2 linked regions of the Ovis aries genome follow. The main gene of each other region encodes a partner of the protein of the gene in region 2 in a complex. Links are inferred from orthologs where the notes say so. Each region holds a gene or a part of one and is shown on either strand. Other genes may lie near its edges.

Region 1 (3,777 bases), on a different chromosome or scaffold from region 2:
CAGCTTTAAGTAATTGTAAAAGTATTTATCTGTGTTTGGAAAAAAAAAAAAAAAACCTACAGGTTCAACACTCAGTAACTACGAGAGAAGGCAGGGAATGATTTAACCGTCTGAGTGATAGTTCTTTAACCAAAACAAGGTGATGAGAAATATTAATTATAAATCGGCCAGTGCTGCCAGCATGGAAGTTTTGTATCTTATATGCCGTAGTTCTTGCCTTGCAGTCACTTAACAGCCAACTGAGTTTAAATTCACTGAAGTTCATCATCTTGAAAGTATTCAAGATAACTACTGTTTACTAGACCTTTTAAATTACTATTTTGTTGTTGTTGGGCCACTTATCTCACATTTAAAACCAATAGTTAACTGCTTTCGTGGTTGAAATGACTGACTGGCTTGCTGCTTACTTCCAAGTAGTTAGGTAACTGTGACTTGTTCACAGTGGAAGCTTTACTAGTGTTTAGCAGCTTCCTAAAGAAGGAAGAACCAGTTTGAACGTATTTACACCTCCTACTCAATTCACGCTAAACAACCTCAACAAAGTTAAATCATACACTTTGTTCTGTTTTAGCAAGATCTCCACCAGATGAAGTTTAGCTTAACTCAGTACTCCAGTAGTTTACTGTCTGTGATCCAATCTGGACACATGTGAGGTGTCGTTTTAGAGCCCTAGACATGAGACGACGAGAAGTCTGCATAAAGTGACACAGGATGACCGCTTCTGAGAAAGGTTAAAGGTGAGTAGAGCTACTCAGTCACCTGCATACAGCCGGGCTTTATTCAAGTACAATGTGATGTAAATAGCACAGGTGCTCGATTCAGGGACAAGTTTCAAACAAGGAGGGTGCAAATGCATGATTTAAAATCAGGCAATACAACTTGGCCCGAGTAACTTGATGATAAGTGAAAGTGCATCAGAGGTTTCTTAGGAACCAAGGCAGGCGCAAACGGCCTGGCTTGAACACGTTCACAGACACCTAGAGACAGTCCCGACTGAAGGGCGCTGGCGCGCCTCAAGCTCTAGTTCTCCGCGCTCGAGTTGCCTTTGCTCTTCCTGCCGGGCAGAGGGAAGCTGGATTTGCTCTGGGGCTGCGAGAGCTTGCTGGCCAGCAGGGTGAAGGGCTCGATGAGGGTCTTGCGGTCGGTGACTGTCACCTCCCACAGGCGCACCTTCTCGCTCCTGGCCCACTGCTGGGCCACCTCGGCGTCCACCTGTCTCTGCTCCGAAAGGTCGATTTTGTTCCCTAGAACAACGATCGCCACCTGGAGGAGGGACGGAGGGGAAGGTCACACACTGCAGCGCCAGCTCCTAGACCAAACGGAGAAGGAAGACTGTGCCGTGTAACAAGCCGCTTTATCTGAGCTGCTTCTCAGACGTGACCTGCGTGGTAAGACGGCAGGGCAGCACCTCACCGCTTTCTTTGTGCATTTTGTTAAAAACAGGAATGCTCAACCGGCTGCTGTGAGACGCTGTAACCTGTGAAATAACCTGGGGTGTGAATGGAAGGGAGACGGGAGATTGCTGCCTGGGGTACAGATAACAGTCTGACTGGAGCGTGCCCGCGTTTCACTTTAGCTCTTACCTGCTGTCTGGGAAATGGGTGAGATGTCCTTGAAAACACAACAGGGCGCCCGGAGCCAGGAGAGGTCTGCACCCGGGGGAGCTGACTCTCCACTCACGTTCAAATCACAGCAAAGCGCCTGAGGCAGGCACTGAAGTACCTGCTGAGCGCGTGCCCCAACGGGAACACTGCGTTAAAGGCAGGGCGAGCGAGCCTTCTCTCAGTGGAACACTCGCCACGCTGGGCACACTCGGCCGACGCAGGCAGCAGTCACAGGGCAGCCAAAGCCGCGGGGAGGAAGCGGCATCCGGGTGTTGAGAGGCCCGCCAAGCTGACTCAAGCCGGAGGTGGGGAGGCGGCGGGGCCACAGCCCGGAGCCCCGGGCCGCCCCGCCTTCAGAGGCGCTCTGGCCGGCCTGTGACGCCTGCTTCTCAGCAGGAGCCGCCCTCCCGGCCGCTGCTACCCCCGCCCAGCTTCACCTGCGCCGATCCTTGTCGCCGGCTCTTCCCGACTGCAGAGGCGGCGCGCTTTGCCCGCAGACGCCCCCGCGGCCGGCGTCTGCACAGAGGCCTCCCCTGCGGCCAGTGGGACAGGCCCTGCCCTGCGGTGCCGGCGGGGAGGGGGTCCCCTCGGCTGCGCGCCGCCCCTGCCCCGTCCCCGCCGCTCTGCGGCCCCTGGTCACCCCACACGCCCCCCCCCCCCCCCGGCGGGATGCCTTCAGTCGGGCGGATGACCCGTCGGCACGCTTCAGAAGCCAGAAGCAAGTGTACTTCCACCACCGCACCTAACAGCCCTCCGCATCCTCTAAGCCCACGTGCACCCTCTGGATCAGGTGTCGCTCCACCAACCGTCCCCTCGCTGCTGCACCCCTCCGCTGCGCCATCCCGCACACAAACAACTGTCTCACCTGAGAAACCCTCCCAACATCCTTCTCCAGCCCCCGTCTCCCTCTGCGCTGTGTGCCAAGTCGTTTCAGTCCTGACTCTCTTGCGACCCCACGGACGGTAGCCTGCCAGGCTCCTCTGTCCATGGGGTTCTCCAGGCAAGAATGCTGCAGAGGGCTGCCATGTCCTTCTCCAGGGGATCTTCCCCACCCAGGGATCGAACCCGGGTCTCCTGCACTGGCAGGCGGGTTCTTGACTAGGTTCTTGCGCCCCTGGGAAGCCCTGCCCCGTCTATGGGACAGGACACCTACCCTCTGACTCCAGGCTCTTGAGCTGTTTGCTGTGCTCAGCTCCCTCACAGCCGGTCCAGCAGACTTTGAGGTGCTCCGCGTTTAAACACGACTTGACTTTGTTGATCTGCCTTCAGCATCTAACAGCCTGGTCACTCCCTCCTTTTTCAAGCGCCGACTTCACTTGCCTTCCGGTCTCTCTGCCCTCATCCCTTGTCTTGCTCCAGCTTCAGAGGCCACTTCCTGTGCAGACTCCTCCGCCGCGGTCTCAGCGCTAACCACTAAAGGTCAGTGTGCTTGAGAGCGAGCTATGGGACTAAACGCGGCTTCGCACCTTGTCCCCCACGGTCAGAGTCAGCATAGAGCGGTCAGTTTAAAACTAAGTCAAAAGGAAGTTCAACTTCCTTCACATGAAGGAAAAACGAAGCTACGAAGACACCCTTCACCTAGAAGAGGCACGAAATCCAGACATTTAGGCACAGGGTTGTCAAGACTGCACAACGGGCGCTTTCACTGTCTCCCTACAGCGGGCAACTCTGCACCGTCTTCACCCTCGACTCAAGCTCCTAACTTGTGCTGGTGGGTCTTCAACTATCTGCTAAAGTGCATGTGCAAAATAATAAAAGTCTAAGACTAGTCACTGTAGCATGGTTCATAACAGCACGTGACCCGAGGTGACCCGTGTCCAGCCACCGGAGGCTGGTTACATATGATACATCTATAGTCACGCAATGAATACGAGGCAAGCTTAAAAAAAAAAAAAAGGAATCCTGAGTCCTCCTAGGGAAGGACTCCAAGGTGTATTACATGAAAAATGCAAGGCGTAGAACCATAAGCCACCTCAGGCATAACAGAGAAGACTAAGAAAAAATATGTGCATTTCTATTTGCTTGTATTTATATGCAGAGACTGCAAGGGTGCCCCTCGACTAGGAAGGTGGGAAAATATTAAAAAACACACTTGGGTGCCAGAAATGGATGGCTGAGGACAGGTGGGAACCAGAGTTCACTGGAGTCCTTTTGATGTACACTTTTTATTTAT
Region 2 (4,361 bases):
GCTCTTTCTTCGGATGAGAATTCCTAAGACTTACTCTTTTAACAACTTTCATATATAACATACAGGAGTGTTAACGACAGTCACCACATTGCACGTTACATTCCTAGTCATTTATTTTATTACGGGAAGTTCGTACTTTCTGACTGCATTCATTCAATTATCTCCCCCCTCCCCCGGCCCCTCCCCCCAACATCCTGCCTCTGGTAAACACAAATCTGGTCTTTTTCTATTTTTTTTAATTTTTATTGGAGTATAGTTGATTTACAATGTTGCATTAGTTTCTGCTGTACAGCAAACTGAATCAGCTATACATATACATATACAAAAGAATTTTAAAATTCTTTTCCCATATAGGACATTACAGTGTACTGAGTAGAGTTCCTGGGCTATACAGTAGGTCCTTATTAGTTAATCTATCTTGCATATATGTTCGTGTGTGTTCAGTTGTGTCTGACTCTTTGCAAACCCAAGGACTGTACCTCGCCAGGATCCTCCGTCCATGGGATTTTCCAGGCAAGAAAACTGGAGTGGGTTGCCATTTCCTGCTCCAGGGGATCTTCCCAACCCAGGGATCAAACCTGCATCTCTTGTGTCTCCGGCATTGGCAGGCAGATCCTTTACCACTGAGCCACCTGGGTGTGTGTATGTCAATCCTGATTCAAATAGTTTCTTGATCTTGGCTAAGTCCTAGCTTTTAGATCAGAAGGTCTTTTTTTCTAAGTAGACTTTTCCATAAAGTAGCAAATCAATAGGGTATGTGATGTGGTGGGACTACCACATTGCTGTACTATTTGTCTTTAAAGCCTTTAAACCCACAGTTGTAGGCAAGAGTTTACACTAAACAGTATGAATCAGAATGCCTCAGACATGTGCACAAAAATCTAGCCCCTACAAATAAAGACTACAGTAACAAACGAAGTACACCAAGCCAATCCACAATAACAACAACAACAGTATACATAAGGAATATGAAAGGGCCCCTCCAGGATACAAAACTGAGGTCAGATGTCTCAATGAAAGGACAAAACAAAGTTCCTCAAAATCAGACACTTTCAAGTGAAACCACAGGGCCTTGAAAATTAATTACTTTCTCAGAACGGTAACAAGGTACTATGTGTCTCTAAGAAACCCAACATCTAGGTTTAATGGATTCTGCCTTTGTAAAATGTAGCCAACTTAATCCTGTACACTTGGACTGAACACAAATTCAAGTTCTCTACCACAGAGTAAGTCCCCAAGCATCAACTGCTTTAAAATACCTCTTTGCTCTGCTCTCCATTATCAATAATGTCCCTGCAGTAGGTGTTAATCAGTCACTAAAGAGCCCCACACAATACAACCTGTGTGTGCCTGGTATTTCAGTACAGGAAGTAGAAAGCTCAGTTTACCAAGAAGACTGCATTTCACTTTCAAAAGTCTTGAAAGCTAATCCCTCTAACAGTACCTAATTTACATTTTATTCTAAACTGACCAAGCCGGCAGTGGCATCTCAAGGAATCTGAGAATGTGAAAAACTTCACTTGGCAAAACTAGGTGTGTGGCTTTTTCTTCCTTAGAGGTACTTCACAGTATAAATAGAAATCATTTGCAACTTTTAATCTCATGAACAAGAGCTTTATTTAAAATTCTCACGGATACAATGAATTCTCTTATGCTCTTTCCTCAAGTGACAGACACATCAAGACTTTGTGCCCTAAATCAGGTGATTTTGCTCCTTTCAAGAAGAAAAAAAGACATCTAGAAGAAACAAAGTATCTTTTTCATAGCCCCCAAATACACTAAGAGAAGTATAGACAGTAAAGGTGTTTACATTCTAAACAAAAATTAAAACTAAAGGAGGTAGAAGAGAAAACAAATAACAGCGGAGCAAACTGGCTACAGATCACAGGTGGCAGGTGAACGGAGGCCTTGGGAACACTTGACACCCACAGGGGTGAGCTTCATCCCAGGTCAAGTGCAGGCCCACCCTGGGGTCTGCAGTTCCTCCACCCAATGGGCTCACAAAAACGCAAGAAGCCACAAAACCGTCAGGGTCATCTTGACAATAAAGCATAAGCAGCCTCCTGGAACCCAGGAAAGTCACCCCTCCCTCCTAGCAATCACGAGGAGCCCCCTTCACACCATGGACACAAAGAAACCGAATCAACCAGATCCACGGGAAGAGAGGTGACACTTAAATTTATCCCGAGGCCATTCGGAGGCTCAGTCTACTGGAGGATCAGACTCAAAAAAAAGTAAAATTAAAAGTGGCAGGGTGGGGGGTGGGGGTGGGGGGCCGGAGATGACAGTTCAATTCAGTCTGCGCTGGGACCACACTTGGGACCACTTAGGGTCTCGGACTCAAACATTAAAATTAGGAACTGGGAGGGGAGATGACAGTTCGATGGGTGCGTGCGACGACCCCCAGGGTTTGCTGGGGAGGGGACCGTCCCACCGCAGCCCGGCTCCGAGGCCCCGGGGGAGGAGGGGTAAGTTTACAACTCAGGGGGACGCCGGCACCCACGCGGAGGGTCTGCTCCCCCGGCCCGGTATCGCAGCCCGACGACCCCCGCCCGATCCCGGCAGGAGCGCGCCCTCGGCCGCGCCGCGCCTCACCCAGCAGCGCCCGCAGGTGCTTCAGGCGGGTCAGCACGTCCTTCTTGGGGTCCAGCACCTTCTGGGTGGACTTCTTCACATCCCCGTGGCTCCTCCGGGAGAACATCCCGCCGCAGGGAGCCGGACCCCCTGCGCCGCGCAGATCACAGCAGAGGGTCGGGCCGGCGCGTGTCGCGCGGGCCGCTCGCCGCCCCCCCTGCCCGGCAGCAGCCGCCAGCGCCGCTGCCGCCGCCTCTCCAGCTCCGGCTCCAGGAAGGAGGGGCGGGGGCCGGGCCGGCGCGGGGCGGGGCAGGAAGGCGGTGTCGACGCGAAACCCGCCGCCCCGCCCCCGCGGGAGGCGCCGGCAGCCACCACCACTCCCCGCCCCCGCCACGGGCGCGGCGCAAGGGCGTGCGATCCGGCCCCGCCGGGGGGCGGGCCCCAGCGGCGCCGCGAGTCACAAAGAAGGTGGCCTCCGCGCGCACGCTGTCCTCCGAGCCCCGGGATGCTCCGTGACAGCGACCTCCAATCAGGCTGGCGTGTTTTCCGCGCGATTGGAGTCAGTGCGCCCGCTCAGGGCGCGTGCCTCGCTCGCCAGGCCACCAGTGCTCCTGGGAAATGTAGTTCTCCAGTAGGCCAGCCCCTGAGACCGCCTCTCCAGATGAGTGCAGCATCTGCCCGACCCTCTACCTACCCCTGGAGGCCCAGGTTTCTGTACCTACAGTCTCCGGCCTGTGCGCCCACCCAGTTCTCTCTACTGCAGCGTGAATCAAGAAACATTCAGTTCACTTCAGTTCAGTCGTTCAGTCGTGTCCGACTCTTTGTGACCCCATGAATTGCAGCACGCCAGGCTTCCCTGTCCATCACCAACTCCCAGAGTTCACTCAAATTCACGTCCATCGAGTCAGTGATGCCATCCAGCCATCTCATCCTCTGTCATCCCCTTCTCCTCCTGCCCCCAGTCCCTCCCAGCATCAGAGTATTTTCCAATGAGTCAACTCTTCACATGAGGTGGCTAAAGTATTGGTTTCAGCTTTAGCATCAGTCCTTCCAAAGAACACCCAGGACTGATCTCCTTTAGGATGGACTGGCTGGATCTCCTTGCAGTCCAAGGGACTCTCAAGAGTCTTCTCCAACACCACAGTTCAAAAGCATCAATTCTTTGGCGCTCAGCCTTCTTCACAGTCCAACTCTCACATCCATACATGACTGCTGGAAAAACCACAGCCTTGACTAGACGGACCTTTGTTGGCAAAGTAATGTCTCAGCTTTTTAATATGCTGTCTAGGTTGGTCATAACTTTCCTTCCAAGGAGTAAGTGTCTTTTAATTTCATGGCTGCAGAAACATTACAGTAGAACAACTTTCAAAGCTTTTACAATGTAAACCATCTAAGTTTTGACTTCTGAGTTCACACCAGGTAGTGAGGTTTCACTTGTGGCTCAGTAGTATAAAAAAATCTGCCTGCAACGCAGGAGTCCTGGGTTCTGTTCCTGGGTCAGGAAGATCCCCTAGAGGAGGGCATGGCGATCCAATCCAGCATTCTTGCTTGGAGAATCCCATGGTCAGAGAAACCTGGTGGGCTACAGTACACGGGGTCCCAAAGAGTTGGATCCGCCTGTGTGACTAACACACAGTGAGGGAAGGAGTGGCAAACCCTTTGGCCATATCAAAATCAGAGCTCCAATTATGCACTAAAATGAACAGCTTTGGCAGTAGGGAAAGGAATGCTTAGACTCTGGGAGAGGAGGCCTTTGGTTCCTGGGACCCATCCTCACTTGGAATATG

What was found.
Region 1: the proteins of RALGAPA2 (region 2) and NKIRAS1 are in contact, whole or in part, in a crystal structure (PDB 9QU1), measured with the Homo sapiens proteins. The link is inferred for Ovis aries from reciprocal best matches to the Homo sapiens genes RALGAPA2 and NKIRAS1. Residues at the interface, in NP_065076.2 of Homo sapiens: Pro20, Lys21, Tyr51, Ser52, Gln53, Phe56, Tyr59, Glu60, Ile63, Arg99, Phe102, Arg103, Trp104, His105, Tyr106, Gln107, Ser108, Lys185, Ile186, Tyr187, Pro188, Glu189; in NP_001364280.1 of Homo sapiens: Lys6, Glu22, Leu24, Leu25, Tyr26, Glu34, Met39, Glu40, Asp41, Val42, Tyr43, Met44, Ala45, Ser46, Val47, Glu48, Lys54, Gln56, His58, Tyr60, His74, Tyr75, Ser77, Phe78, Lys108, Thr162.

The regions. Positions count from the first base shown.
Region 1 is NC_056079.1:41,396,317-41,400,093, reverse strand, and holds the end of NKIRAS1 (NF-kappa-B inhibitor-interacting Ras-like protein 1), read right to left. Parts: exon of another isoform or gene 1,264-3,777; coding exon 1,021-1,263; 3' UTR 720-1,020; downstream 1-719. UniProt on the Homo sapiens protein: Atypical Ras-like protein that acts as a potent regulator of NF-kappa-B activity by preventing the degradation of NF-kappa-B inhibitor beta (NFKBIB) by most signals, explaining why NFKBIB is more resistant to degradation.
Region 2 is NC_056066.1:39,734,003-39,738,363, forward strand, and holds the start of RALGAPA2 (ral GTPase-activating protein subunit alpha-2), read right to left. Parts: upstream 2,852-4,361; 5' UTR 2,702-2,851; coding exon 2,596-2,701; intron 2,517-2,595; exon of another isoform or gene 1-2,516.